Oryzias latipes: one gene and its partner. The protein of the gene in region 1 purifies or fractionates together with the protein of each later gene. This does not show direct contact. Links are inferred from orthologs where the notes say so. Each region holds a gene or a part of one and is shown in the gene's direction. Other genes may lie near its edges.

Region 1 (15,642 bases):
CCAGCCAATTGGGATTGACCTGACTTGGTGGAAGTAATTTTGTGTTTGGACGTCTTTTTGATGCATTACATATGGAGAAAAAGACAGTGAGACACAAAGACTGACAAAGTTGGCCAAAAACTGAATATTTACTTTCCGACTGATTGTTATACCTTTTTACCAACATGGGTTTTCAGCCAATACTGCTGTTACTCAATAATTGTTTTAATTTCTTTCAAATGCATCTCTCTTTTACATCCCTAACCGATACTGCTTTTTCTCTCTGTGCTTGGTTGATTTTGTGTATCTCTATCTTTTGCGTCCCTAGTTTTTCCATTGCATGATGTTGTTCTTGTGCTGCTGGTGCTGTTGTCACGGTACTGCCATGTTGTGTTTTCAGGCCTGTGTGTGACGATCATGCTGACGTGTGAGGTGTGTGGGGAGGAGCTTCTCCTGGAGGAGGACATGAAGACACACCTGCTGCTCGTCCATCTGGAGGCCGACCTGCACTGCCCCCTCTGCTTCCTGTCCGCCGTGTCCTACGATCAGCTCCACGCTCACATGTCAACGGCACATCCTGAGGAGCAGCACAACCACCCGAAACCTCTCAACAGCACTTTTGCCAGAACCAGTACCAGTAAAGTCCCAATGGGTCAGCCTGCTGGTACTCCAGCTGAAAAAGAGAAATCCATCAGAGCCTCTACTTTGGTGAACTTAAAACCTCAGGAGCAAGAAATCCCACCAGATCCGGAGCATGCTGGACCCCTCTCTGCAACTTTGTCTGCAGAGGAACCAGAAACCTCACAGGAGTCTGACAGGAACCAGGCCCGACAGCTGTGGAGTTCAGGAGGACGTCCTGGTACATTTCAAATGTTGGAGCACTCAGGAGAACCCAACCTGTCCTGCCCCATGTGTGCGCTGGTGTGCACGAGCCCCTTGGTTTTGCAGGAACACGTGGAGCTGCATTTGGAGGAGCAGCACCCAGAAAAAGGTCTGTTCTGAGCAGCTAACCCACCATGTTTGAAGATTTTCTTGCCATGCTGAAAACAATGTAGCAACATGGAGCTGTTCAGTGTGTCCCACAAGTACTGTTTCTATTTCCCACCAAGCAGTTCTGACTCAGAGCGTCCACCAACCATGTTAGATCTCTGAGGTGTTCAGAATCATCCTGAGACAAGATTGAGCTTAAATGAGCTCCTCTTATTAAAGAGAGGAGAGGAAGCTGCCCGGCTCCTTAGATACAAATATTCTGTTTATTTACAGGAAGACCTCTATTATCCATAATGATTTAATCCGAACAGAGCTGCAGGGTTTATGTCTGTAGTCAGACTGAATGTCACTGTCCTTTGGAGCCATGTGTTTCTTTGAATATCAGTGGGGACGACTTTAAGAGCTTCTTTAGAGAGAGAATTGCAGGTCAACCTCCCATCCACCTTCAGAAATAATTGTTGCTTTCTCGTCACTTTTGTCCTCTAGCTCTGACAATTGTTGTCTCTTAATGGAAATAAATATAAAAGAACAGCTAAAACATTCCATTTTCATTTTTGAAATTCTTTAGAAAAGCGTTACAAATCAATGATGTGACCATAGGAACAAAAACGTTCTCTTGGGTTTTATCTAAGATTTAGAGTTAAGTAAGCATTTAGAGTTTTTTTGTAAATAAGGAAACTTTCTCACACCTGAGTGTGTTTGGTCCATTCCTGTTAAAAGTTTACATGCTTTCTTTAGGCAACACATTCTGGCAGAAGTTTAACGTTATGCTGATGATTCTCAGCTAATACTTGTCTTAAAAACCAGGATATGTCTCCCAGTATACCAGGCTTCATGTATGTACTAAAGAGTTAAAGGCTTGAATGTTGGATTCCCTTGATTGCAGTAAAATCCCATTCAGTCTCCAGTTCTACTTTTTGAAAAAGGCTTGGGTCATAACCCTCAGATAAGTCATTCATATAGCGGGAATAAACGTTTCTAAAATGTCCCCCTTTTTATTTCTGTAATACGAAAGAATCAGGAACATTTGTCGTCAGGATAGCACAGAGAAACTTGTTCCTGCATGTGTTGCTTCAAGATACTGAATTCCTGATTGTTATTGTTCTACAATTTCACCAAAAAGCCACCCCCAAATTCTGCATTAAAGGTTTTCAATAAAAATGGCCAAACAAATCCTATTTCTCCCATTTCAGATTCCTTCATTTTGTCTGCCTGTTGCTGGCAAAAAATAATTCCAAGTAGGGCTGCACGATATGAGGAATACTCGCAATTTGCTATAGTAGTGATCAATATTGCGATGACAAAATAACTTGCGATACATGAACAAACAGCAAAACAACCAAAAACATAATTTCAGTTTCACTGGAATTGTTTTATATAAGAGTCAACATAACTTAAATCCTACTCCAAATGACCCTCATCTACATAGGAGGCGAGCATCTAACACAAAGGGCTTCATCCAATTGGTTAAATGACTCGTTAAAGAACATTTAACCATTTAGTACAATTGTCGCCGAATTTCGCAATATGCGTATTGCACAGCTTGATATGGCAATAACGATAAATCTGGGGTTTACTGTGCAGGGCTAATTCCAACCTTTTTTTTTTCAGACATAGAAGCTTTTACTGTTTAAACTTCACTGTATATTAACAAGCCCTGGGTTCCCTGGTTCACAAACCGAGCTTTCTTATCTCATAATCTTATCACAGGATTCCTGGTTGTTCTTAGAACTAAAATCCACTTTAAAGACTGACAGAAATAAGTATTTATCTCCTACAAACGAGAATTCTGTCTCTCCTGCTTATACATATTCAAAATATAAATCTTTGTAATGCACGGATATCGTTAACTTAGTGTTGGCCACGCCCCTACAGAAGCAGCTCAGGGCTCTGCATCTGTTTGCAGGACGGAGGCCGTGGGAGTGTCCCATGTGCTCAGCTGAATGCGCCGACAGTGCTGCGCTGCAGGAACATGTGGAGCTGCACCTGGACCCCTGCACAGGTGCATTTCTGTCATTACTGTGATACCTGTGTGAGTTTGATTGGTCCCTGAACCTTTAGCAAATCTGCATTTGTCTCCAGGACGCTCCAGCTCTGATCTAAGCCTGGCGGTCCAGCTGCAGCAGGAAGAGGAACAACACAGGAGGAGGGAAGAGGCGAGGCAGGAGGCGGAGCACTTCAAGAAGCTGCAGGTGACTTATGCAGAACCAAGCCTCTGGACCTTTGGTTCACGGATTTTTGATCACCGCGGTGATGAACCAGCAGGGGGCGCGGTGTTGCGGTTATTAACTGCAAACACCCCCCCCCCGCCAAAAACAAAATCCCTTGCGGACTCAGAACCGGGTCTAAAGTGTGTGTCTGAGCACAGCTCTGATCATCAGCACACACACACACACACAGCGGCGGTGTGAGCCTCAAAGCAGAAATGTCGCTCAGTCCTTAGAAACCGTTCAAACAATCACGTGGATTTGTGTTTCCAGTCGTGTCCCGACTAAATAAAGGCTGATGTTATTCCCACATGTTTACGTGCAGCCAGGATGCAGATTGCAGCACCACCCAAGCTAATGCTGTTAGCCCGTGTTAGCATACTGCTAATTCTGGCTTCTTTCCGGCTCCGCTCTTCAACAGAAAAAGCAATGACCACACGGATTACAATTAAAACAGGCGAACAGGCGCTTCATAATAATCGTAACATTACTAAAAGCACGTTTAGAAGATCGTCTCACTTATTACGGAGCTGACATGTCAACGTATATAGCCGCTCGGCGGAAGTCATATCCTCAGTCATTCCGGTTTTTCAAACCCTACTGCGCATGTGCGAAGGAATTTTTCCGACCGAAAGTGTGAGCCATGTGAACGTTTGTTATATTCTGAAAACATTTTTCTGTGCCATGTACACGGTTGGATTCTAATCCGACCATTGATCCCATCAAGATATTTTGCACATGTAACCGCGGCTTATGGTGTCTACTCGCAGCGTGGCGGGGGCGTGGCATCACGATGGTGTCTCTCCATCGGGATGTCAGTCACCCATCACGATGGACGATGGTATCGTCCATCGGCGCAACCCTAGATGGCGCTCCCCCTGGAGAGAGGGGGAGGAGCTCTGTCACCTGGAAGGATCTCAGAATGGAGTCACTGCTTGTACATCCTAGTTGAAGGAGGCCCCAGGAAAGCACCGGGACATGCTGAAGACTAGGGATGCCTCAATTCTTGATTTAAAACTGAGCCGTGGGGAATGTGAATAGTGCGTGTGTTTATGTTGAAAATGTTAAACACAAGTTGTGCACATTTTTTTTAGCGGGATTTACTATTTATTTATTTAATTAGGATACACCAGGCCTTAGTGTAAGAAAGTTTTTACTTCATAGTTACTTGCTTATTGGCAAATTAAAAGTATTTTTCTGATTTTGTTGTTGTTGTTTTGTAAAACACAAATCAAAGCAAAACAAAACCATGACCTAAAAATTGAGGTTTGAACTATGAGGAAAGCAGGTTGTTGCATCCCTACCGCTGGCCTGAAGAGGGAGATGTGGGCATTTTCTATTTGGCTGCTGCCGACCTCTGGGTAAGATAGATAACATGGATGATTCCTTTTTATGTCCTGGAGATTTCCTCCCTGGATCTGATCTTTTCCTAATTTCTGGCTTTATGACACATGAACATGCAACCCCCTGCAGGCTGATGCCTGTAGTCTTTGCTTGCAGCATCACGGAAATCAAGTAAAAGCTACAGCTTCTTTGAGCACGGTTGATTTAAAGTCTACATGGAGCGTCCTATTTTATAAAACCAAGCAAATTCTCTGTTTCCTGTCTCCTTCGAAGACCATCCAGATGATCCTGTGTTGATCTGTTGCACTGCAGCAATCGTGTCACAGTTTGGGCTTTCAGTTTCAGTCTCTGGTTCTGCTGACTCCCCAGAGGCGCTATGGTTTGGACGGGTCAGGGGGCTACCGCCGGCAGATGGAGAGGACCATGGAAAGGGAGGTTTCTCGTGGCCGGCTGGCACCCGCAGACTTTCACCGTAAAAAGGCTGACTTGATGGAGTCTCTGACCTCGGGCGTTGATGACGGCAGATCCAGAACCTGCGGTACGCTCCTGTGTTTAGCCGTATGTGTTTGGGGACGAGGGGCTTCTCCAGAAACCCTCTCCAGGGACGACATTTCATTTGGAAAGGAGAAGCATCTCACCACGGCTTTAGATGTGTGAGACGGAGCTCCCTCCGTGGCAGAAACGGCACAGACCTTTCCAGACATATGCAGAAAGATCTTTTTGCTGTTTAGTCCATCATGCAGACCATGACGGTCTCAGTTTGTAACAATTCATCCTCCACTCAGCGAGGGGAACGTCACAACGCCCCTCGCCCCTCGATGTCTGGGGCATCAAATATTAAGTCAATCTGCCCTCTAATATTAAGAAAAACTCATGTAACCGCTTGTTTGTGCAGCCCTCTATTGTGTGAGCGTGACAAATTATAAACTTACACGGATTAAACACTTCGCCCAACACTCAAACACCAAAAAACAGATTTCCTAAAATCCACAATATATGCAGAACCCAAAATTCAAACCCAAGTCCCGCAGTCTTGCTAACAAAAAGGAAATGTTCTGGAAGAAAATGAGTGTTCAACAGTCTGACATGTTTAGTGGGAGACCTCCGCCTCACTCGCTGGAACGCATTCCGACCGTCAATGAAGCTGCTGGTCGATCTGAGCTCTTGGGAAAATATACTCCATCAAAATTATGAGGAGAATAATCTGAGCTGGGAAAGATAATCCATCATACGAGATCGCTAGCTCCTTTGTGCTCCTGGTCCGCTGTCAGTTGTGCATTCTTTCTTTTTACCGCGCTCCCGCATCTCATTTAAAAAAAAAAAAAGGTGTGTCAGCCTGTCACCTGTCAGCTGGTCCCGTTCAACCAATGGGGTGACGACAAATACAACATGTGACCTCAAAAGTTCATTGACAAAAAACCTGTTAAATAAATCCACAAGTTTTTCCAGTTTCAGGTCATAATCAGAAACTGATTTGTAGTGGCAACCATTACAAGTTCCCCAGCCTAATGCACATGATCCATGTTCAAACTGGACTGAAGAGCCATTCCTGCTCTGCTACCTTTGTCTTAATGTGTTCTTGATAATCCTCTTTCTTCACTAATAACTTTACTTATTGTGAAAAAATGGCCACTGAATTGACTCATTTGGTTGGAGCCAGAAGTACGTCTTTTTCTATGGTGACATCACACTCACACAGTCCAGTTCTTCTATACAGTCAATGTATCAGGTTATAAGATTGATGGTGCGGGTCACATGACTGAACTGTGGGACGCTGTATGTGCAGGTGCAGTCGATGCCTTGACGGAGTATTATCGGACCCCGGCCTGTGACTGCGCCCACGTGTGGCTCTGTTCCGACACCGACCACTTTGGCGCATCGGCAGGAGACAAAGGCTGGGGCTGCGGCTACAGAAACTTCCAAATGCTGCTGTCCTCCCTGCACAGAACTGAGCCCTACGCCTCTTCACTTCAAGGTGCGAGTCGCCTTTGATGTCCTGACTGTCATGGTGCAGGAACAGTGGAGGTTGGACCGTGACTCCCCTTCACATTTCTGTCCCAAAGCCTCACAACATGCATCACAAATTAAAACCACGGAAGAAGTACGAACAGACCATGCAGAGAACACATAAATTGACACAGAACATGAACCGTGTGTGATTATTGGGCTGTGATTTGTGCGTCAGTTACGTAATTTGAATGCGAAACGTACGCCGTATACGGGAGATAAAAGTTATACATCGGTGGTTCATGCGTTAAAAGTCTGTTAGACATAGCCACAAATTTGTGTATCCCAAAAACCACACACAATTGCATAAGATTTACATAACAATTGCGGATAAACTACGTAAAACATGCATAACCTGCATAATTCTCAATAGACTAAAAGTCCGGAAATCATGTAAAGATCCTAAACCCTCGACAGACATCTGAGCACATCGACAGATAACTAACACAAGAAACACTTTTGAATTCCGTAAATCACGCAAGACTAAAATTTCATACGTGGAAAATGTACACAGTGGCTGAGTGACGTCACGTAGCCTTAAGATAACATTTCCTAAATGAGAGAAAGCACATAACTGACAACCTAAACCAATAAACTGAGGTTTTCATGTGTGCTAATAAATATTAATGTTATTGTTGAGTTTCTCCAAATCCACTGATGTCTTTTTGCTCGGCCAGAAAAGGCAGTTCCTTCTATCCCACAGGTCCAGAGAATGATAGAAGAGGCCTGGAAAGCAGGTGTGGATCCACAAGGAGCATCCCACTTCAACCACCGCCTGCAGGGAACACGGGCCTGGATCGGGGCCACAGAGATCTACGTGTTGCTCACCTGGCTGGGTGTCAGGTGGGACGGCAGCTCTTGCTCCATGTGTAGGCAATGAATTGTTGCTCATGAGCATCATCGCGGTGTTTACCTCCAGAGCACGCATCATTGACTTCCACCAGCCTACGGGCCCCGGGGACACCCATCCCCGGCTGTTTGACTGGGTCAGACAGTACTTCCTTCAGTCCAGCCAGAGCAACAGACTGCCCCCCAAGGTCATCCGAACCAGCCTGCCCCCACTTTACCTTCAGCACCAAGGTAAATGGATGGGGGAGTGTGTTCCAGCAGAGGCTTATTTACATAAAAAAAACTCCTTTGAAAATTTGTCACCACATTTGGTAATTCAGTTGTGAAGTCATGGTTGCCATGGTAACAGTGTTGTTCATACCTTTTATTTTAGCGTCTTTTTCCTCTGAACACCAGAGATGTTTGATGTTCACCAGAGCTCTTACACTTTAGGGTGGGGGCTTTATGCCCATATTGGGTAATTACAGCTGTTGGCTGGAGATCAGAACAACTCTGACTGTGGAATTCCTGTCAGCACGTCTGCTGCCGTGTGAAAAGTTAGTTGTCTACAGGTCAGGCTGTCTTCGTCTTTTGCTCGCGGTTGCCATCGGTGATCGCAAGAGATGCCGTCGTGGTTTCTCGAATTAATTGAGGAGTTTCGGTGTGTCCACTTTGGTGCTATATTTGGGTTAATTTGTCTGATTAGTGGTTCCATCCCTTCAGCTTCCTGCTCTGTCTGCAGGTCACAGCCGCTTGGTTGTCGGCGTGGAGCAGAGGAAAAGCGGCGCCCTGGCCCTTCTCGTTATGGATCCCGGATCGAAGCTGTCACTAAGCACTGATGCGGTTTCCGTGGCGATTCGCCACATCAGGAAGTTCCCCAGCAGCCTGAAGCACAAACAGTATCAGCTGCTGGCGGTGCAGGGGGTGCTGTCTGCAGAGGACAAACAGGTACGCTGGCAGCGCACATCCGCCATCACCTGTTTGATCCTGAAACTGCTCTGTCTCTGTCCAGGCTGCTGTCTTCAACTCCAGGACTCTCTGTGCAGAGAAGATCCCATGAGAGGCTCTCCAAGCATCTTTTTACTGATCACAGTCTTCATAATTTGGTTTTAGATGTTTTATAATAAATGCTTTCCATACAAAAGTGTCTGCTGTGTCATAAGGACCTTTAAAAGGATTTCCTTTTTTAACCCAAAAAATATCCGCAGTAAAGAGAAACTAAAAGACAAAAAAATTAAGTTTTATTTAGCAAACTTTGTTGCTCTAAAGACTATGTTCTAGCAGACAGACAAGGTTTTCAGGATTATAGATGAGCCGCATGTTTATCATGTAAAAAAAGTCAAATGCTTATAAATGTATCAAATTTCACAGTTTGCATCATTTCAGTAAGTTGCAATGAATAAATCCAAAAACTTTATTTCATAACTGTCAGACAACAAGAATAAATGCAACATGTTTTTACTCACACTTAGCAAAAACATAAACTTAACACTTTTGATTTTGCTCCAATTTGTCAAGAAATGAACTCAAAGATCTGAAACATTTTCTACAAACACAAAATAACCATTTTCCTCAAATATTGATCACAAATCTGTGACGGTGAGCACTTGTCCTTTGCTGACAAATTCCGGGTGTGGCATTAAAGATGCTGATTAGACGGCTTGATTTTTGCACAGGGGTCACAATGAATGGCCAATCTGAGATGTCCTGTTTAGTTCCATTAACCCTTGTGTTATCTTAGATGACCCCACCCTTACATTGACGTGTTCTCCCTACCATGACAAAGGTGGAAAGATTTCATGTAATCCATGGACACCAGTGAAGTTCACAAATCATTGAAGAAAAAAGGTTCAGAGCACTGTCTAGTGGGTCTAGATGACCCAACTCCCAATGGTAAAGTGCCTAGGATAGAAAGGGTTAACCTATGCTCTGGAGACTCAGAAAACCGGTCAGTGTCTGGTGCGACCACCATTTGCCTCATGTAGTGCTACACATCTCCGTAACCCTTGTGCTGTCCTAGGCACTTTAATATTGGGAGTAGGGTCATCTGAACGTTTTTTTTTCAGATTTGTGATCTTCACTGGTGTCCATGGATTAAATGAAATCTTTCCACCTTTATCCAACTTTGTCATGGTAGGAAGAACACGTCAATGTAAGGTTGGGGTCATCTAAGATAGCACAAGGGTCAACAGAGTTGTCGTTTGTGACCTGTGTAATGTTGGTCCACTCCTCTTCAATGGCTTTGTGAAGTTTCTGGATATTAGTATGCCCGCATCCAGAACATCCCAAACATGCTCAATGTCCGGTCAGTATGATGGGATGTTACCAGCCTCCAAGAATTGTCTACAGATCTTTGCAAATGGGGTCATGCATTATCATGCTTCTGCATTCTTGGATGTATGGCTCAACAATGGGTGTCAGGATCTCTTCACTGTAACTTTGTACATTCACAATGCCATAACTAACTTCTGTCTGCCCATACCATAACTCCACCGCCACCGTGGGCCACTTGATCCACAACACTGACAACGGAAAACCGTTCACACACGTTCTCTGCTCTCTGCCCTGAATAGCGTTAACCAGGATTCAAATATCTGTGAAGAAAACACTCAAGTCAGACATGACAGGAGTCGGGTCGAGACCCCCGTGAGGACGACGAGCATGCTGATGAGCTTCCCCTAGATGGTTTCTGGCAGTTTGTGCCAGCGGCTGTTCGAGTGGCTGGTCTCAGGCGATCTTGGAGGTGAACATGCTGGATGTGGAGATCCTGGGCTGATGTGGTTACACTTGATCTACGGCTGTGATGCTGGCTGGCTGTACTGCCAAATTCTCTAAAAACACCTGTAACCCTTGTGCTATCCTAGGCACTTTACCATTGGGAGTTGGGTCATCTAGACCCACTAGACAGTGCGCTGAACCTTTTTTCTTCAATGCTTTGTGAACCTCACCCTAGTCCATGGATTACATGAAATCTTTCCACCTTTGTCCAACTTTGTCATCTAAGATAGCACAAGGGTTAACCCTTGTGCTATCTTAGATGACCCCACCCTTACATTGACGTGTTCTCCCTACCATGACAAAAGTGGAAAGATTTCATGTAATCCATGGACACCAGTGAAGTTCACAAATCATTGAAGAAAAAAGGTTCAGTGCACTGTCTAGTGGGTCTAGATGACCCAACTCCCAATGGTAAAGTGCCTAGGATAGCACAAGGGTTCAAGATTGTCATTAGAGAAACCCCAGAACAGAAACCAAGTCACTGACGTGCTGGATTCTGAAAAGGTCACACAGAGCTGCAGTGAGAGCCACTTTCCACACATGGGGACAACCTGGAACAGTTTAGAACCTTGCCAGGAGTGACCCGCCGCCCAAAATACCCAAAGCCCATCTCTTTTTTGACAAAAAAACATCCAAAACTGTTAGACAAATATTCTGTGAACTGGGACAGAACAGGGAGTTTCTGGAAGGTGGGAGTCTGTTCCATCCGCACTAAAACTAACAGACGATTGAGTCAGACACAGATGTGGCGGTTTGATGTGTGGGCTCAAATGTCCTCCATCAGTTCATGAGAACTTTGGATTCTGAGGCAAGAATCAGGAGATCCAAGAATTCTGGTCCAAGTGTGGAGCTAACCCAGACGGAGATTCTGATTCTGAACCTTAACCCTTGTGCTATCCTAGGCACTTTACCATTGGGAGATGGGTCATCTAGACCCACTAGACAGTGCTCTGAACCTTTTTTCTTCAATGATTTATGATCTTCACTGGTGTCCATGGATTACATGAAATCTTTCCACCTTTATCCACCTTTGTCATGGTAGGGAGAACACGTCAATGTAAGGGTGGGGTCATCTAAGATAGCACAAGGGTTAAACTTTTTAGTACACGGAGTCTGAATTGAAACAAAAATGACACACATGAACTTTTCACTCAAATGAAATGACCGTTTTCATGGCGGCTGTCCGCTATGTGAGGCTCCAGGAGATCATTGACTGAAGCCTCTTCGTGGCACATCTGGACACTTCCCAAACATGGTTTCGACCACGTCAGAGACGGGGTAGGAATGGAGGAGCTGCAGCTCCATCCTCGGATGGTCATGATGAACTTCACATCTTCCTCAAGGTTGCTGGGAGTGTGTCCGCATAGCCCCCCCTTCCTGCAGGCAGCAGCACAGAGTTGAACCTGTGTGTGTGTTGGAGCATCTTCTGAGGGACTCATGTTCCCGGTGCATTGAACGCAGCATGCGGTTCAGGTTAGCTCCAAAACTTTATTGAGAAGACACAGCTTTCCAAAACAGCCAATCAAAACGCAGAGTTTCTTGAAGGCAGAAAATGGGTCTAAAGCGCCTGGGGTGGGGGGTGGGGGAGCGTGAGAGAGAGGGGGGGGTTTAACATGCATCATCCACATGGTCCCTGCAAACTGCCCCCTCTCCTCTTATGGGGGGGGGGTCTGAAACTGTCAGTGAATTCTGCAGCTAAAACACTTCTAACAGAGATCACAAACACCCCCCTCCCCATCTGGTAAAGGAGAGTAGAGGGTTGAGGGTTAAAAGCTGCAAATCTTTTCAGCATTAAAAAAAAAAGGTGACCCCCCCCCCCCCCCCCCCCCCCCCCCCCCCCCCCATGATTCTGACGGTTCATCAGACGGCCAACAAGATGCAGACAATCTTCAGGAAGCAGTCAGGGAACAAATAAACCGAGAACACAGTACTGGGCTGGTTCTGTCAGCCAACACAGGTCAATAAATACCAAATAAGAATAAATAAGGGGGGGGGGTTGGTCCTGCAGGGTTCTGACAACAGGAGGGTGGGTCAGCTTCACCAGCCGAACACAGTCATCTCTGTCGCACGCTGAAGCCGAGCAGTTGTCCAATCAGCAGATTACCAGAGTCTCTCCACAGCCTCCATGCGGGCGGGGCAGAGGTGGTGGGTGGGTGTGTGTGTGGGGGGTGGGGGGGGGGTCATCAGCTGTCCATACTGCAGCAGTCTGGGTAGGCAGAAAGAAGCGTATTCAGAACGTTCACTTCAAGCATCAGAGCCAAACACAAATGTTAGAAGGAATGAATGATGTCTCCATGGAAACCCAGTGAGCAGATGTTCACACAGTGCAGGAACTAACAGAGAAGATTTGCAATTAACAAAGGATCTATCATCATAGATGGTCAACAGAACCATCATTTCAGTATTGATAGGATAAAGCAGGAGCCAGGCTGCATCGTCTCTTTCAACAAAAAAATATTAAACCTTGAAGGCCCACTCTGATGAAAACTGTGTTTGTGTTGTTGCTTTTTTTACATGTTCTTGTGGCTTTTTCTCATAATGGAGGACATGTATGAAGAAAGTTCATCTTAAGATAGCATTTCTTAATATTTCTTTATTCAAACTGTGAACTGGGAGCAGACGAAAAAATGCTGTTGGAAAGAGAGTTGATTTATGACATGGCTTTGCTCTGCTGGCAGAAAAGCTGCCAACATATCATATATCTATTGCTTAGCATTTCTACTGACTCATATGAGAGGGTGATCATGCTCACACGACAAAGAACGTTCATAATTGGTTCAGAGACGGAACGTAAAACAAAGTATTACCTAAATATATAGAATACTTTTTAAATTCACACTGGGAAGGAATCGTTTCTCATAAATAGCATGTGAGTTTGGTTACCCCAAGTACCTCTTTCTTTCTTTCTTTCTTTCTTTCTTTCTTTCTTTGTTTGTTTCCCCCTCATCACTAGCTGAAGCTGTCCAACCAACAAATGTTCTTTTCCGAAATTCAGATAAAACACAGGTTGTTGTTTTGGTCTGGAAAACGTCAGAGATTCACTTGGGAACAATATGATCACATTGGATGAAATGAAACTTAAACACAGGCTAAACTAAATCTGTCGTTTCATGGGACAACCAGGAAGGCATCGAATCGGCTTGTTTATAACTTGAACAACTTGAAATAAATGTGATGAATTAATGAGGATTATCAAGGGTTTAGTTAAAAAAGGGTAGTAGAGCAAGACTGGTTATTCTGACAAATAGAATGACTGAGTAATAGCTGTTTATTTTTCTGTAGAAGTCAGAGATTTTAGCCTCTGATGTTGGCTGTTATTTGTTTGGAGTCATAGCTGGTCTGCTATGAAAGTCAAGATAGTAATGTTAATGTTTGATTTGTCTTAATTTGCTAAAAGATGCTCACACTGACACCTCAATGCATTTACCTGGAAATTCAGGCTGGAGCACTAAGACACAGGATTGCGCCCTCTTGTGCTTGCTTTTTTTTTTTCTATCGTCATGTCCATGGCCAACATCTCTTTGAATCCATCTCTTTACATCCAACAAAACAAGCAAATTTTGGACCAGAACCAAACAAAATACTGGAGTCTGGGAAACGACCTGCAGTGACCTGCTCACCTCTACAAACACACTCACTCCGACTGCACTCACTGATGTTCACGCTCGCATTGCCGAAGCCCTCCACCTCCTCCACATCCAGGAAGGGGGCGGGGCCCCAGATTCTGACGGTGCCGTCATCAGAGGCGCTGGCCAGCAGACCGGGCAGGATGGGGTTCCAGCTCACACAGTTGACGGTGCGAGTGTGGCCGGTCAGCTCTGCGATGGGAAGTTCGCTGCGGCGATGCCAGATGTAAACTTTATGGTCTGCCAAGAGACACACAGCTTACCGGCTGCTGCGTCGCTACAAGAAAAACCTAGTGGCTCCACTTGTAAACACCCACACGCATACAGATGTGCTCATAAGTTTACTTACCCTGGAAGAAAGGATTTCTTGGTCATTTTTCATAGAATATGAAAAACTTTGTTTCCACTCATAGTGATTGGGTGAAGCCAATTATTGTCCAAAAATTCTGTTTACCCTTTTTAAATCATAATGACAACAGAAATGTCCAATACGACCAGGTTCAAAAGTTTACTCACCCTGACGACTTTCTTCTGAAAACATGAACACAAGGCGATACAAAAGGATTTGAATGACACCTAAAGGTAACTATCCTCACCAGAGACTCGTTTGTTTGTAATCAGTGTATGTGCACATGCGGTCTCAGAGTTTCTGGGCATCCTTCACCCACTGCTGCACTGACATTTCTGGATCCTGAGCCATGATCCAGAAAGGAAAGAAAAGGAAAGGACAGGACAGGAAAGGACTCATGTTCCACTTCTTCATCAAAGTTTGTCCACTGCTTACTGGCGTTATCAGTTCATTGGATATCTTCTTGTTTCTTTCTCCTGTTTTGTACAGTTCACTTACCTTTTCCAAAAGATTTTTTGACGGCTGTTTAGTTTTCCTTTAGCTACCGTTCTAATCCTTTAATATCAGCTTGAGTTCATGTTTTCAGAAGAACGTCATCAGGGTATGGAAACTTCTAACCTGGAATATTTGGGAAGTTTCTGTTGTCATTATGATTTAAAAAGGGTAAACATAATTTTTTTTGACAATAAATGGATTTACCCAACCATTCACTATGAGTGGAAACAAAGTTTTGTGAGGTCATTCTTATTCTATAAAAAATGACAAAGAAATCGTTTTTTCCATTGTAAGTAAACTTATCAGCACAACTGTACATACACATGTGCACACAAATGCACAAACATCCATTCAAACACACAACACACACACGTGCACAGGCTGGAACCACAGTTCCAAGCTGCTCTTCTTCCTGTGCGCTTAATTGAAACTCATAACTGAACACAGTAGAAACTAAACGTGCTGTTGTCTTGCCTTCACTGCCACTCGCTATGAAGTCTTCATTGTGCCCTCCAAAGCAGGAATGGATGGTATAGAAGCCCTGAGTCACTCCCTGGTACTTCCTCACCAGCACCCTGTCCTGCAGGTCCCACAGATGGACTCCCTGCAGACAGGACCATCAGCTGTGCTGCCTCTGTGCCTGGTACAAGGGGGAGATTGTATAGAAGGTGCTCACCTGAGTTGCAACGTTGAGGAGAGCTAAGCTCCCAGTCTTGGAAATAGTGAAGGACATGATGGGATGGTCTTCCTGCACTCTGAAAAAAAAAGGTGCATCAAATCAGCACAGTAAGAACCAACACGGTGTTTTTGCTTGATGGATAATTCCATCAAGCAACTGTTCAGGTGCTTTGACTGCAGTCACAAAAGGTTTTCTTAAGCCTGATAACGCCGACAAAATTCTGTATTTGTCTGACGCATCAATATTCTGTTTAAAAGAAAACAAGTTCTGCTGCTGTATGACCTTTTCAGGTGTTTTCTCTGCCAGGGTTGATCCATAAAATTTTTTATAACCTTCACAAATCTTTAGAAACTAGATGTG
Region 2 (16,384 bases), about 1.1 Mb from region 1:
AAACTTTAGCTGATTCATTTTAACATGAAATCAAATCAAAGAACGGCCTAAAATTTTTTTTTAGGGATTGGGGTCTCACTCGTGTATCGCGTGTGCAGCTAATTTCCTGCATCCATGGATTATTTGCTGCGAGGTACTAAATGAATGAAAAGTATGCTGCAGTTTCTTCACTCACAGGCAGCAAACTTTTACTTCAGAGTTCCCTGCATACCATAGAAATGAGTAGATCTGTAACCGTGTTAGCTACAGAGTATAGTTTGTGTGTTTTTGTCAACTAAACCTTTTGATCTTTTAGGTTCAACCTTGCAGGACAAGGATGAGGAGTCGGTTCCAGCTGAGATGGGTCAAAACCACCCGTTCTTCCGCCGCTCTGACTCCATGACCTTCTTAGGCTGCATCCCTCCCAACCCTTTCGACGTCCCTCTGGCAGAGGCCATTCCGCTGGCAGACCAGCCCCATCTGCTGCAGGTCTGATTTGAAAAACATCGGTCGATGGCAGAACATTGTTAGCGCTTTTGAGAACAGCTTTCGCTAACTTTACCAGCACCTTTTTGATCCAAACTAAAAAATTTTGTTGAAATCTTTTAGCAACCAGTTAGAATTTGTGAAATGCTGTAGATTGAGTCATGGGAGCCGCATTGCTGCTCAGACTGGAATCTCAAGAATACCCACACTTGATAATGATCAGAAGAAATCACATCTCAACCCGTTTTAGTCTGCTCCATGTTTGTTTCATTTTTTAACCTTCTGCTGGATTTTTTTGTCTGGGACTGTATCGGTATTAATATCCAGTGTTGGGTAAATTACCTTTTAAAGAGTAATTGACTACTTTGCCTTAGTTACTGTATGAAATTGTAATTCCCCAATTCAAAAATTTATTCACTACTCTGTGCTTTACCTTTTTCTACTCGCACACAAATTCTCAGAGGAATAAAGATGGCACAAACAAAAATCTAAAAAAAGGAAGCTACGTGAGGATAGTCCGGTTTTCATTTTAAGCGTCATTTTTTAGCAGACAGGCAAAGCCCCCAGTCACTAACTGGACTCAATAGTATGTAAATATTCCCATTGGTGTGAAACGTATTTCAAACATTTCTTCCACAGCCTAATGCCAGAAAGGAGGACCTGTTTGGACGCCCCTCTCAGGGCTTGTATTCGTCCTCTTACATGGCAACCAAAGGCCTGGCTGATGGAAGCATGGACAGAAACTGCCTGGAGGTAAACATGGGCTCCTCTCTACCCTCCCCCTCCCAGGTATACTACTCATTTTCACTGGACACACATGCTGGCATAAGCACTCTGTGCACAACAATCAGGACATGTGTAAATTAAGACAGAACTTTTTGGCAGAGCTTTGTGTGCACTGGCTTTAGTTAGGACATCAGAAGCTGCTGGTCTTTGTTCCATTTTCAGTTTCTTTTCAGTCGTTTTTACAGCATCCTGAGGAGAAAACGAATGACATTACATCAAAACACTCTGCTCCATCAGATCCTCCCTACCAAAATGTCGTATTCCGCCAACCTGAAGAACGTCATGAACATGGAAACCAGACAGAGGAGCGCTGAGAACCAGTCACTGGGGGAGCAGGAGCTGGAGGCTTCTAAACCTGGGCCTTCGCCTCATGACCTCGCAGCCCAGCTGAAGAGCAGCCTGCTCGCTGAGATCGGCCTCACTGAGAGCGACGGTCCTCCGCTGCCGTCCTTCAGGTGAGCATCGATCACCAAGCTGGAATGTAGAAGATGATCCTGTTCTACTCTGCATCCTCCTGACAGTCTGTCTTCACAGCTTACTGAATAGTGTTCAGCATGATAATGTTGGTTCTCCTTTGTGTGTCCAGACCTCACTGTAGTTTCATGGGGATGATGATATCTCACGATATGTTACTGGGCCGCTGGCGTCTGTCGTTGGAGCTGTTTGGTCGGGTCTTCATGGAGGACGTCGGAGCTGAGCCTGGATCTGTAAGTTTAGCTTCAGAGTTTGCTATAAATCATTTCTGCATGTTGGGGAGTTCGTGTGACACAAAAATGGTGCAGTACGCGTTTGACCCATTCAAATGGAGATGGTCGTGTTCTCATCCATGTCAGATTCTAACTGAACTCGGCGGCTTTGAGGTGAAGGAGTCCAAGTTCCGGCGGGAGATGGAGAAGTTGAGGAACCTGCAGTCGCGTGACCTGGCCCTGGAGGTGGACCGTGATCGAGACCAGTTAATCCAGCAGACCATGCGTCAGCTCAATGCGCACTTTGGCAGGCGGTGCACAACAACGCCTATGGCCGTCCACCGGGTGAAGGTCACCTTCAAAGACGAGCCCGGAGAGGGCAGCGGCGTGGCCCGCAGCTTCTACACGGCTATCGCGCTGGCACTCCTGTCCAACGACAAGCTACCCAACCTGGACTGTGTTCAGAGTGTCAGCAAGGGCATGCAGGCCAGCAGTACGTGTCATCACGATTACAATTCAAGTATGACTACACATAGAAACTACTGCACATTGTGGAACGTGATTGTGTTGCTTTGTTTTGGTGTTGCACTTGTGTTGAAAACAGTTGCAGCTGTTTTTGAAAATATGTCTTTGGTTAAAGAGCAACTTCAAATGAACTTGCTGCGTTTGACTCGTTCCACCAGACCTCATGCAACGCCTGAGGAACCGAGACAGGGAGAGGGAGAGGAGAAGTGGAGGGCTTCGAGCGGGATCGCGGAGGGACCGAGACAGGTAAGCACTGCGCCTGTGGTGTCAGAAGGAAAAACCCCGATGCTAATTCAAACTTGTTGATGGATCCAGGGACTCCAGGAGGCAACTCTCTATAGATACCAGGCCGTTCAGGCCTTCGTCTGAAGGAAACCCCAGTGATGAGCCCGACCCTCTTCCAGCACACAGACAGGCTCTGGGGGAAAGGCTGTACCCCAGAGTTCACACCATGCAGCCGGTAATGAGCATTTGGAATGGCAGGGCTTTGACAAGCTATGATTCCACGTGCTGATCTTCACATTGAAATACTTATTGAGAATCAATGAACTGATCAAAAACAAGGGGACATTGTTTTTGTCTTCTCAGGCGTTTGCCAGTAAAATTACCGGCATGCTGCTGGAGCTGTCTCCGGCTCAGCTGCTGCTGCTACTGGCCAGTGAGGACTCTCTCAGAGCCAGAGTGGAAGAGGCCATGGAGCTTCTCATCGCGCATGGAAGGTATGTTGACTCTCACTCCAAAAATACCTTTCGTTTGGTTGAACTACGATAAAATTCCAGACGTTCTGCACTTTTTTAAGTTCACAAATCAAAAGTATTTCTACTGAGTAGTTACAGCGTCATGATGACAAAAGAAAAAAAAACATTTGCAAAAGCCTCCTTTTTAAGCATGCCGTAACTGTTTATACACTTGACCTTTAACCCACCTTTAAAAAAAAACTGATGAACCTCTGGATGAATTTATGTAAATGTTTAGCTTAGCTGGCTGACCTTAGGACACAAAGTGTGTGAACATCACATTTTGGGCTAAATCACTACAACTGTACTTCAACGTGGGCTTTGTGACTACGTGTGCGGAGGGTTAGCTCTAATATTAGCTCACTTCTCAAGAGGTTAAAACTACCGGATCTGCTTTTAATTTGAAACTGGCGATCTAAATGAGTGATGGCTTCAAAGTCCCACTCCAGTCATCTATGGATCTATTTTCAAAGTGAGTTTTTAGCAAGTTTTTTTTTTTTTTTTAAGTCGTTTTTAAGGACAAGGTTTCTGCAGAGCGGCAAGAGTTGATTTGAAATTCATCTCTGAAATGTGGGCGGGGCCTTTGCGGTGTAGCTGCCACACCCCCTTCCCCTCCCTATTCCTGAGCGGAGCAGGAAGCTCGTGGCCCGCTCAGTGTTTTCTATCAAACAAATATGATCTTTTTCTAACTGCATTCATTTGTGTGCTCCTGTTTCACAATGATTTGAGTGAAAAAAAACTCAGAAATGTAATTTTGTACTTAACTTACTTCAAATATCTCCTCCATTGTCAGAAAAATGGTACAAGAACATGTTAAAAAAACCACATTCTTTGGAGTGGGTCTCTAAGAAGTAGAAATCTGTTTTTTAAAGCTCTTGATTAATTTCATTCTTTGCTAAATATAATAATATTAAATATTTTTTGAGTATTTTTATTTTTATACCAGAGTTTATGAACAAAAAGATTTGTGGCTTAGTGACTTAAACTGAAAGTTGTAAAGTTGATAAACATAAGGATGATAAATTAGGTGGTAAAGAAATGATTTTAAATCTCTGCCTTGTCTCAGCATTTTCACACTGTGTGTCCTCCTCAGGGAAAATGGTGCAGACAGCATTCTGGATCTGGGACTCCCCGAGGCTCCAGAGAAAGCTCAGGTTCACACGTCTTCACTTTTTTAAAGGTTTAGATTAGTTTGCCTGATTCTTATAGGGCTAGTAATAAGTTACATTTACTGAAGGAACTTTTAGAGAGAAAGTACACGTAAGTCAGAATACTCTACTTCACACCACACCGAAGTATTTTCAGGTGTGGAAAGAATTTAGCCATGATTTTGTTCAGCTTTTGGTCTAAATTTAGGCTGTTGTGAAAATACTTTTGAATAGAGCATTTTTTTATCCTGATATAGCTTTTTCCATATCAGGCGATACCGGTATCACGATGGAATCCCAATAACTATATTTGTCAGATTTGAACACTTTAATACTAACTAAATAATAGTAATGTGTAATCATCAGCAGGTTGTTTAGATTGAAATATTTATTATCTATCACACTTTAAACAAACAGATGCACTGATGGAACATAATGCACGTTTTGTTTCAGATATCTAAGAAAAGGAATTTATTTTACAAACTAAGTTTCAAGAGAACATAAATAAAAGAGAACACTAAACTGTTTGATCAGATCTATTTAAAAACAAAACATTAAAACCACAGATAAATTCTGTTTTCAAGTTTTCCATGACGAGCATAAAATTGAGAAACAGTTTTGTCAGCATCCTGTGAATAATCCAGGAACTAAAAGCAGATTATCAGCATTTCTGCTGGTAGTTTTGACCAGTGTTTTTCAACGAGAGATGGTCAGGTGTGCCGTGGGAAATTACCCATTCACTGATCTAAAAACATTTTCCATCTCCAGGAAATCAGCTCTTTGTTCATCCAAACAGGCCCTGATAAAACACTGAGAAGTTAGGGATATGAAAGATCGTAAAATACTTTTTTCTTTGTGTTTATTTGATTCTATTAAAGACATTTTGATAAGAATAACAGTACCGTGATTTAGCCGCAGCTTAAACTCTGATTTCGGAAAAGTCCCGCCCCTTTAACTGTCTCCACCAATCATTCTTGGAGGCCTAATCATACGTCACCAGTCTGACCAATCAGAAGTGGTTAAAGTCTTCACTTCCTTGTTCTGATTCTGCTCATAAGTCTCTCAGTTCTAACAAAAATACCAGCTAAAGCTCGTCTTTAGCGGTGTAGCTTTCCACAGAATCTGGTATCAGACCGTGGAACAAGTGAACAAAACAATGAAGCTCAGAGACGCTCGTCTTTCTGCGGTCGGCGGATTTTCAGCACTACATCTCCCATGATGCATTGGGTTAAAGTGACGGTGTCTTAGCGCACAATGAGTCTCTCCTCTTAACGTTTAAAACAACAACGAACACACATCAGTTATTAAATCTTTTAACTTAACTTTTATTACATCTTTTAGAAAAACAGCTGCAGCTTCCAGATTTTTCTGTCACAATTATCACAAAAATGCACGTGAGATTGTAGAGGGACTGTAGATCAATACAGACTATGAGCTTTTCCTTTATTTATTTTTTCTGGATGGGGCGTCTCTCAAGTTGCATGGGTTTGTTTAACTCACGTGTAGACGGTGGAGGAGGACAGAACAAAACCATTCACCAAAAGGAGAGTAAATAAACATGACTCATTTGCTAAAATGCTCGTTTTAATTACTGGCTATCGTAATAGACTCATTTTTCCATTGAGATAAAGCTATTTTGCGATAAATATAATGGTTTTATCTCCCAGCCCTAATTTTAAACTTTAAATACTGATCACAAATCAAAGAGTTCAAATTGAGATTTTCAATGGAAGTACGCTGCCGCAAATACTCCTCTTTTAACTGTCTCTTCACTTTTTAAACACTAATCCAGTTTTTAATAGAAGTCCAGAACAGTGTTTTTCAACCTTTTTTGAGCCACGGCACACTTTAACCTTGACAAAGACCCCGCGGCACACCAGCATCCAAACAAAAAAAAACTCGGTCTGTATTGATCGACAGCCCCCCCCCCCGCAATCTCAAGATCATTTTTGTGATAACTGTTGCAGAAAAAGCAGGCTGTTTTTTCTAAAAGATGAAATAAAAGTTAAGTTAGAAAATTCAAAAACGGTTTGATGTGTGTTTGTTGTGGTTTCAAGACGTTTAAGGACGACTCATCGTACGCTAAGACGCTGTCCCTTTAACCCAATGCATCATGGGAGATGTAGTGTGAAAACTGCCGCAAAAGGGCAGAAAGACTAGCGTCTCTGAGCTTCAATGTTTTGTTCACTTGTTCCCGGGTCTGATATCGGATTCTGTGGAAAGCTACACCGCTAAAGACGAGCTTTAGCTGGTATTTTTGTTGGAACGGAGAGACTTTATGAGCTAAATTGGAACAAGGAAGTGGAGACTTTAACCACTTCTGATTGGTCAGACCGATGACGTATGATTAAGCCTTCAAGAAGGAGACAGTTAAAGGGGCGGGACTTTTCCTTAAACAGAGCTTTAGCTGCAGCCAAATCGCGGTACCGTCATTCTTATCAAAATGTCTTTAATAGAATCAAATAAACACAAAGAAAAAATAATTTTATGATCTTTCATGTTCCTAACTTCTCAGTGTTTTATCATGGCCTGTTTGGATGAACAAAGAGCTGATATCCTGGAGATGGTAAATTAGGGTTGTGCCGATGGACGATATCATCGTCCATCGTGATGGGTGACTGACATCCCGATGGAGAGACCACCATCGTGATGCCACGCCCCCGCCACGTTGCGCGTCGACACCATAAGCCGCGGTTACATGTACAAAATATCTTGATGGGATCAATGGTCGGATTAGAATCCAACCGTGTAGATGGGCCCAGAAAAATGTTTTCAGAATATAAAAACGTTCACTAAGGTCACAATTTCGGTCGGAATAAATCATTCGCACATGCGCAGTATTCGCACATGCGCAGTTTGAAAACCGGAAGGGGATACAACTTCCGCCGAGCGGCTTTTTTTCCAAACTTTATTGAATATGACAATTCAATACAAAACGATAACAGCGCCGAGCGGCTATATATATTGACATGTCAGCTCGGTAAAATACGAGATGATCTTCTAAACATGCTTTTAATAATGTTACGGTTATTATGAAACACCTGTTTGCTCATCATTTGAATTTTAATCCGTGTGGTCAGTTCTTTATCTGAACGAAGCCAGGATTAGCAGTATGCTAACACGGGCTAACAACATTAGCTTTGGGTGGCAGTGCATCCTGTGAATAACATCAGCCTTTATTTAGTCGGGACACGACTGGAAACACAAATCCACGTGATTGAATGTTTTCTAAGGACTGAGCGACATTTCTGCTTTGAAGCTCAAACCGCTGTGTGTGCTGACGATCCGTGCTGTGCTCAGACACACGTTTAGACCCGGTTCTGAGTTCGGTAGCTAGTACCCCTAGAGCTGCGGGACGGATCGCAGTCCTAAATCTCCCACACATACCGCTCATGTACCCCCCCCCCCCCCCCTTCCCATCAAACACAAAGCTGTAAATCCGCACTCCGCCGGTCCACTCCGCTAAGTGCGGGAGCGGACTACTTCTTTTCTATTTTGTTTGTTACTTTTTCCGTTAAAGTCACTTCCCTCAGTTTATACTGGATCATCGCGGATTAACCATTAGTTGGGAAATAAAATGAAAAAAGCAAAATAACGAATAGCAGTTATATAAGAACGAAAAAATACCCCCCCCCCCCGGACGATGTCATCGTCCATCCCGATGGTTGACAGCAAACATCGTCAACGGCCAAATTAGGGGACATCGCCCAACCCTATGGTAAATGTTTTTAGATCAGTGAATGAGGGCAATTTCAACACTGGTTGAAAAACACTGGTCTAGAACAGGCATGTGTTTTTTACATGTATTGCAGAGCAGGGGTTAATAGGATGTACTGGTGTTTCAGCTTTGACCAAATGAATCAAGATAGCTGCTTCCTCACCTCTCGGTTTCGCCCTTTAGTTATCGCCACAGAGAATCATCTGCCTCCATCCAACCCTGGTCCTCCAACGCCACAGTCCTGCCTGGTTTCCAGCTCTCCGTGACCATCTTTCCTGATTGACTAAACACACCTGGTTTAGGTTTTCAGCACGCAGCAGTCCAGAGAGAGCTGGAAACCAGGAGTCTTTGAGGCTCTTGAGGAGCAGGGATGGCCAGCCATCTTTAGCAAAATCCAGCTTTTATTCACATCGTACTGTTGATGCAGAACAAATGCATTTGTTTACAATGTTTAGAGAACACCGTTTTATTTTGAACTGATTTAGGACTTGGCTTTCTTTGACAGCCGTAAGCTAGCTCGTTAAGCTAATTTCTTCATTCTCATTGCTTTATCAAGTGTGATGTATTGTTGGCATTAAACTGGTTTGTTTGGCTCTTTTGTGCGTTTTCTAAGCTAATGAGCACTTAGCTTACAAAGCTTTTCTTTTTTTGCTCATTCTTCCTTATCTGCAGCTATTTTAGCTAAAACTTTGGCAGTTTTTGTTTTAAATCTTACATTTCAGCATTGACACCAACTTTTTTCCCTGGAAATGTAAAATTTATAGTAGAGTATTTAATTTATAGATTTGGCAAAAAAAAAAAAGTCTGTGAAACAGCGAGACCACGAATGGTGAACGGGAATTTACCATGGAAACTTTCTACTTAACTACCTTTGTCATCAGTTACTTTTTGCTCAAGTATTTGTGTGGATGACTAGTTTTTGCTTCTCAGCTTGGGCAATTTTTTTTTAAAGTGAACCCTTTTTAATAATCTTTCTGAAAGACTCTAATATCGAATCTTGTTTTTATCTCTTTGATGGTTCCAGCAACAGGAGAACCGTAAACGTCATGGTTCTACACGTAGCGTGGTTGACATGGAGCTCGATGACCCAGATGACGGGGACGACAACGCGCCGCTCTTCTACCAGCCCGGCAAACGGGGCTTCTACTCCCCTCGGCCTGGAAAGAACACAGAGGCCAGACTTAACTGTTTTCGTAATATTGGCAGGTAAAAGACGTGAACGGGTCGTGACAGTTGATGTGTGGCATAAAAAAGTGAAAACGAGCTCAATAATGCTGTGTCCTCGCAGAATACTGGGGTTATGCCTGCTGCAGAATGAACTCTGTCCAATCACATTGAACAGACACGTCATTAAAGTGCTTCTTGGCAGAAAGGTAGGAGAGTGTTAGCTTGATTGTGTATGCAGCTCCACTCAGGAACTGCTACGTCATGTTTTCTTCTTCCTGCAGGTGAACTGGCATGACTTTGCCTTCTTTGACCCTGTCATGTATGAGAGCCTGCGGCAGCTCATACGCCATTCCCAGACCGGTGAAGCCGATGCAGTTTTTGCTGCCATGGATCTGGCCTTTGCCATTGATCTGTGTAAAGAAGAAGGAGCTGGACAGGTGAGAGTGTCCGTTTAGTGCTCCAGAAAGACCACCCAATTAGGTCTGCTTAGATTCTCATCAGGACTAATATCCATCCAAGTTCCATTCTCATATTATTTATCAATTTAAAGTTTCATTTTTCTGTAATTCCGAAATGTTAGACCGCTGGGTTCAATTCCTTAAAAAAGTTGTTTTGAATACACAAATGGAAGCAGGTTTGAGTCGGGTAGACTTGATGCTAAAAAGATTGGAATCATATTCTTAAAAAACTAACCTTCTCATTAAATGTCAGACAAAGGAGCTTTTCCTTCGAGTAGTTGTGAGAATCATTTCAGACTTTTACTCGAGTACTTTTCTCCAACAACACATCTCCTTTTAGTTGAATCTTGACAGCATGAGGCAGGGTGTCCAAACCTTTTGCAAAGAAGACCAGATTTAGTGAGGGCCAACCATTCGGCCTGCATTCTTGAACTAATTTACGGTAATAAGATTACCGTAAATTCCGGACTACAAAGCGCACCCAATTACTAGCCGCACCCTCCCATTTTCACGTGTTTAACCTATTTTATACATACACAAGCCGCGTCGGAGTACAAGCCGCATGTATTAGGCAACATTGTCATCCTGACAAATTACGTCCTGACTCCCAGAGTGAGTGTGATTCATTAGCACACAGTGGGTGGAGTCAGCTTTGCCTCAGGCTCATGTATTTGAGTATATCTACAGCTGCCAAACAGCATGGACCTGTATTCTGTTCACAAGTTCCTCAGTTATGGTGTTTTTATTTCATTCTTTTTTTTTTTTTTTACTTATTGACAATCTAGCTATCACACATAAAATTACAAACAGTAACCATATAATCAACATTACATCCCTCAGTTATGATGAGGAAATTTACATCCGCAATCCCCCATTTCCCATGAGTCTTAGGGGCTAAAGGCAGGGCCAATGCCCGGCTCGCCATTCTGTTGTGCGTGTTTAAGAATGAGCAAGGAGCAGCAGTGCATGGAGGGGTGAACGGGTACAGCTCTCCTTCCGCTTGTGTCGCGGCAGCGTTTTGGGAGTAACAGGGCTGGTTAAATAACACGCTAGTAAAATAAAGCAGCGACGACTGAAAAGCGCGCGCCTCAGCGCGATACGCGCGCCTCCTCGCGGCGCGTGGGTCAGAAGTTTCCTTCCACAACAAACACTGTTGGTCCGCGGACGCCTCTGCGCTCCCGCGCACTCCTTGTCTCCCCTTCCTATCTACTCCGACAGCTCTGGCCAGCGCGGCTACAGGGAGGGGCGCTTCGTCCCCATTGCGCCGGTGAACGGAGCAAATCGTGTCTGTGCAGAGCAATCGGACTTAAAACTGTACGTTTTGTGTATGAGGGGCGGATGCGTTGTTACGTGTGGGAGCCTTCAGACTGCCATCGGCCCCGCAGCTCACACGACACGCAGTCTCCAGCTCACACGGAGGCTGTGAGCGTTTCAATGCAAAACTCCGCTCAGTCCTTAGAAACCGTTAACACGACCACGTCAATTTGTGTTTACAGTCGTGTCCCGACCAAATAAAGGCTGATGTTATTGCCACATATTTACGTGCAGCCAGCCGAGTCACCATGACTCAGAGGTAAATTCCCTCCATGCGCTGTTCTCTCCGTCACGCAGCTGACCGGCTTTTCCAAACCCATTGGTGATGGTGGATTTTTTCACGCTGCTTTTAACTTGAAAGCTGCATCATATTGTAGTGGCGATCACGTGCACGTTGGGTCTAATGGCACCAAAGGATTCTGGGATGCGGCCGGGCATGCGTGTTTCGTTATGTTGAACCATGACTGAAGTGTCTAAGACCTGAAGTGAGGTCCATGCTGTTTGGCTGCTAAGAGGTGTGTTGACTTGCGCTTGGTGTTAGATAGAGAATTCTAACCATTCACTGAGTCCGAAAGTACGTACATGGCGGCCGCCAATTAAAACCATAAATTAGCCGCGTCACTGAATAAGCCGCAAGGCTGTAAATGCAGGAAAAAAGTAGCGGCTTATAGTCCGGAAATTACGGTAAATGCAAATGATCAGTTTATTTTACTGCCGTGGTGTTTTAATTTCTTCATATAGAACACAAACGCATCTAAATACATTTGAACCAAAATGACTGAATTCCACATTTGAAGACTAAAAACAAAATGAAGAAAAAGTCTGTCTGGAACATAAAAACTGATCAACATTAAATCTGGGTTCATATAAAAATATAACGTTTTATTCACTATTAAACATTTAAACTGTTTCAATAGGAAAATTTAACACAGTACAAACACACAAATTAACCCTACAATCTTAGAATTCATTCACCACAGAAGACTGAACATATTACTTGACGGTGGCAAAAAGGCTGGATCTGGCTCAAAACGGTGGTTTTAATGCTCAGGACTAAAGAGTCTCTTAGTCCCGTCCTCATGCGGTTCTTGTTGAATTGTCTTCTCTCGCACAACTATGTGGAGACAAACAAACTCAGCATTTTCTTAGCGAATGTTCGCATCTGCCTTCATCCAGCTGGCGGTAAAGGTTGACAACGTCACACTGCAGCCCCATGAGCTCCGCCTGGAGCGTCATCGGGGCGCACTCCTCTCAAAAAAGGAACGGTGTGGGACGCGTCTGTGCTTTCATCACAGGCTAGTGGAAAAAACCTCCAGCTGTCTCTTAATATCAGATGAAATGTCTTCAAGTCTCCGGACCACAGTGTTCCAGGCAAACATTAGCAAACTCCTGCTTCTTCTCAAGACAAATGTTCTCAAATCCTTTTTATCACAGTCTTAAATAAATTCCCCATCGGCTAAAGGTTTGCAGATCTTTGTGCTTCTACCTCGTAGCTCTAGGGGTGCGTATCGGCAAGAGTCTGGCGATACGATACGTATCCCGATATTGTATCGGAAAACACATTCTTTTTCTTTTTTAGAGTATGACTTAGAAAAAACTCTACCTGATTATTAAGATGCCTTTCATTGTAATAAAATGATAAAAATGTATTTTATTTAATGATCACAATGTTAAGCACTGCAACTGTATCTCATATATAATTTGCTTTAATCCAAGAAAAGTCATGGTGCTTTTATTTTATTTTGGTTTCTTAAAGGGAACAAAATATTTTTCAGTATAAGAAAAAAAAATAGGATAAATGTGACTTAACCAATACGGTTCTAAAAGCCTGAAGGAGGAATTAAAGTGCTGTTTATTTTCAATATTGCTAAATGTAGCTTCTCCAGTACTTTTCAATGGTTTAGGACCAAGAATGGTGCTTAAAGAATAAAGGGGAAAAACATCAATAAAGTGTTATGATGATGATGATGCAGCAGCATGACAGATGAAGGAGACGCTTTCATGTGGCAAAGATGCTTTATTTCCATGACAGTCTGCTCTGCAGCTGCAGCTCAGCTTTCTCGCACACCATCGCCATGACGTTGGCCTTTTTCCAGAGCGTTGTACACATCACTCTGATCCATCAGGTCGCTGGACTACAATCTATTGCTGGGAGGTTCTGCAGAACTTTGGCCCGCTTTGCCGACAGTATTTTGACTGATGTTCTGAGCATTAGCCTCTGCACAGCTGCAGTGCTTCACTGGTTCTTATCTGAGCTAAAAAGCGCCGCAATCCACGTTTTTATGATACTAGCAGCAACATGGCTCAGAGTACTGATTCTGTACCCATCCTACATAAAAAAGAAGTAGTTCATGTCACATAACAACAAAACAAGCTGCTTCACTGAGATCTTGTTGTTGTTTTGTGTGGTGTAGAGCTGCTCAAAGAAGCTCAGTGTTCTCTGCTGCAAACTAGTGGTCGGGGTTTCAGAGGAAAAAAGAGTCAGCTGCTGAAGGACGCTCAAAAATAAATAAATTGGAAAATAAATATTGTTTTTTCAGAATTTTAAATCGATAGAAATGTCGCCAAATGAAATATATCGCTGACTAGATTTTTCCCTACACTGCTACGTAGCTCACTTTTGTGGCATTTTTTTATTTGACTCGCGGGTTCTTGTGAAAAACGCTGCTGTGTCGTAAAACACTTTCCAGTTGCTTCAATTTTCCGCACCATTCCGTCCCAGTTTGTCAGAGTTGCCATGTCTTGTCTGGTAATGCTTCTTGATATTAAACTCTGTAAAAACAGCCACGGTTTCAGGCAGACAAAGTTGTTTTTCGTTTCAATTTATTTTGTTTCAAAAAAGCCAATTTCCACTTGTCCTGGAAGCAGCTGCCTTTGTTTTCAGCCAATCACAATCAAGCAGTTGAACACACAGTTCTTAGAAAGTACCGCGGCTTATTGACATGAGCTCGCGGTCCGGTGAAAATTTGAATTTCGGCCGGACTTCGGACACGCCTGGAAGAAGGTTTTTGTAATCTAAGTGCAGATTCTTGGTTCTCTGCTGCTCCAGGTCTAAATGTTGGAGAATCTGTCCTGAACTCAGATTAAAAATGTTTTTCTTTTTCCAGGTGGAGCTGGTATCTGGTGGAGTCAACATGCCAGTGACTCCTCTCAACGTCTATGAGTATGTGAGGCGGTACGCAGAGCACAGGATGCTGGTGGTGGCCGAGCAGCCGCTCCATGTGAGTTCCCTTCTTCTGTGTGGAACGGCTGTCGGCAGAACAAAGGCTGATTTAGATTCCGATTTTTCACAGGCGATGAGGAAGGGTTTGCTGGACGTACTTCCTAAAAACGCTCTGGAGGACCTGACAGCCGAGGACTTCAGGCTGCTGGTGAACGGCTGTGGAGAAGTCAATGTCCAGATGCTGATCAGCTTCACTTCTTTCAACGATGAATCAGGTTGGTTGCTCTGAGGTCAACATCCACCTGTAATAAAAACATGAGCTGTTCTAGATCTTTATCTAAAACCCTGTCTGTCTCACAGGGGAGAATGCAGACAAACTGCTCCAGTTCAAACGATGGTTTTGGTCGATAGTGGAAAAGATGAGTATGACTGAGAGGCAAGACCTGGTAAGTCTATCTATTTGACTGGAATAATCAAAGGGCTGTTTTTATTTAAACCCTGTGGATGTTTAAAAGCAGAAACCAGATGGTGCAATAAGAGACACTCGGAAGACGATCTTTGTCCTTAAAACAAATCTGATCAAAAGAATTGGATGAAACATGTATTTAAAAAGGGATTTTTCATGGATTACTCTCTTTCTGATGGTGTATTCAGCTTCGCTGTAAATTTGACAAAAACAAAGCAAAGTATTATAAAATATTAAAGTACAAACTCAAATAAATGTTTAAAGTTTGAGCGAATTTGAATGTTTGCACCTCCAAATAAAAAATGTCTTGATTTACATTCATTTACAAAATTGGAAATACAAGGTTTTTTTAAATCTGATTGTTTTCTTCTCTGCGTTTGTTAAAAATCTTAATAGAAAAAAAGAAAAGTAAAATGGGAAACATGTGTTGATGATTGCGTTTGCTCTCCTCAGGTGTACTTCTGGACCTCCAGCCCATCTCTGCCAGCGAGTGAGGAAGGCTTCCAGCCCATGCCCTCCATCACAATCCGGCCCCCAGACGACCAGCACCTCCCCACCGCCAACACCTGCATCTCCCGTCTCTACGTGCCACTCTACTCTTCTAAACAGATCCTCAAACAGAAACTCCTGCTAGCCATTAAGACCAAGAATTTTGGTTTTGTGTAGAGGTGAACTGAAAAGCATTTAAAAGAAAAGAAAAAAAGGAAAAAAAAGAACATGTTTACTGTTGTGTAATATTTACCTAGCTCCATTTTTGTAGATTTATTTTTTGTCCAAACAATTTTATGAAATTCGACATGCTGTCTCCCCAGGCAGTGATATTCATTTGTGTTGTAAACACAGACTGCTTATTCTTATTTCAACTTTTATTCTTATTTTTGTTTCTTTTGTTGTTAATGAAGAGTTATATGGTCCAGAACATTCCTGCATAGGCATTATTAAATTTAAAGTCCATAGTTTTGCTCTATTGGCTTAAACCTTCGCTTCACAGGAATTGGGTTTGACAGACAGCTGTCAACCGGAAACCTAGCCAAAGATGACAGCAGTAGAAATATTTAAAAGAAGAAAAGAGACACTGTGATTACGTTTTTTTTTTCCTTCCCTAGAAAAGTACTATCACTGACAGTTCACTGCTGCCTTTGTGAAAAGTCATTTTTTTCTTGTACAGGGGGAGATGGGAATTTCAAAATAAACTTGGATGCAAATCACGTCTTTTGTGGTTTATTTAATGCCATTTCCAACAGACTCGGATCAAACAGTAATGGTATTTAAATACATTTTCTTTGTTTTTCTTAAAATCAGTAGAAAAACTGTCTGCAGAGGCAGCCATCAACATTTGGTAAGCTTTATTGTTGTAGAGAACCTAGCATGGGGCCTTTCAGGGATTTTTGAGTTCAAAACCCATCGAGGCTTTTCGGTAGAAAAAGCCTCATCAAGTTCCTGGAACAAAACTGTCATGCGTTCATTGACGGCTCTGACATGATTTATTTTAGTATTCTTTGACAGTGTTACCACCATATATAGATTATCTATTAAAATGACTTTAAAAATATAATTGTAAATTCTATTCTACATGAGGCTCAAAATTTGATGTTTTAAAGTTTAAGCGGGTTCGGGTAGGGGAGTTTCCCGGGGCCCTGAACGCAGCATTTCTCCTCCAGTCAGACGGAGCCATATGAGGTGAACCTGCTATGCTGGCGGTCGGTGCATTGTGCGGGTCAGCTGTCGGTTGAAAACGATCTCTCGATGCT

The links.
Region 2: the proteins of zufsp (region 1) and ubr5 purify together in Homo sapiens (affinity purification with mass spectrometry, with the first as the bait; 3 studies listed by BioGRID). This does not show direct contact. The link is inferred for Oryzias latipes from reciprocal best matches to the Homo sapiens genes ZUP1 and UBR5.

The regions. Positions count from the first base shown.
Region 1 is NC_019874.2:5,458,336-5,473,977, reverse strand, and holds the end of zufsp (zinc finger with UFM1-specific peptidase domain protein), read left to right. Parts: intron 1-379; 5' UTR 380-396; coding exon 397-970; intron 971-2,875; coding exon 2,876-2,971; intron 2,972-3,051; coding exon 3,052-3,161; intron 3,162-4,889; coding exon 4,890-5,058; intron 5,059-6,306; coding exon 6,307-6,495; intron 6,496-7,204; coding exon 7,205-7,370; intron 7,371-7,446; coding exon 7,447-7,607; intron 7,608-8,097; coding exon 8,098-8,303; intron 8,304-8,367; coding exon 8,368-8,415; 3' UTR 8,416-8,501; downstream 8,502-15,642. Other genes in the region: WD repeat-containing protein 26, read right to left, coding at 13,632-13,999, 15,078-15,207, 15,280-15,358. UniProt on the Homo sapiens protein: Deubiquitinase with endodeubiquitinase activity that specifically interacts with and cleaves 'Lys-63'-linked long polyubiquitin chains. Shows only weak activity against 'Lys-11' and 'Lys-48'-linked chains.
Region 2 is NC_019874.2:6,519,679-6,536,062, reverse strand, and holds the end of ubr5 (E3 ubiquitin-protein ligase UBR5), read left to right. Parts: intron 1-295; coding exon 296-468; intron 469-1,104; coding exon 1,105-1,254; intron 1,255-1,488; coding exon 1,489-1,706; intron 1,707-1,837; coding exon 1,838-1,958; intron 1,959-2,084; coding exon 2,085-2,457; intron 2,458-2,620; coding exon 2,621-2,708; intron 2,709-2,777; coding exon 2,778-2,922; intron 2,923-3,050; coding exon 3,051-3,181; intron 3,182-4,292; coding exon 4,293-4,353; intron 4,354-9,089; coding exon 9,090-9,271; intron 9,272-9,353; coding exon 9,354-9,438; intron 9,439-9,513; coding exon 9,514-9,669; intron 9,670-14,111; coding exon 14,112-14,225; intron 14,226-14,297; coding exon 14,298-14,442; intron 14,443-14,527; coding exon 14,528-14,613; intron 14,614-15,086; coding exon 15,087-15,299; 3' UTR 15,300-15,841; downstream 15,842-16,384. UniProt on the Homo sapiens protein: E3 ubiquitin-protein ligase involved in different protein quality control pathways in the cytoplasm and nucleus. Mainly acts as a ubiquitin chain elongator that extends pre-ubiquitinated substrates.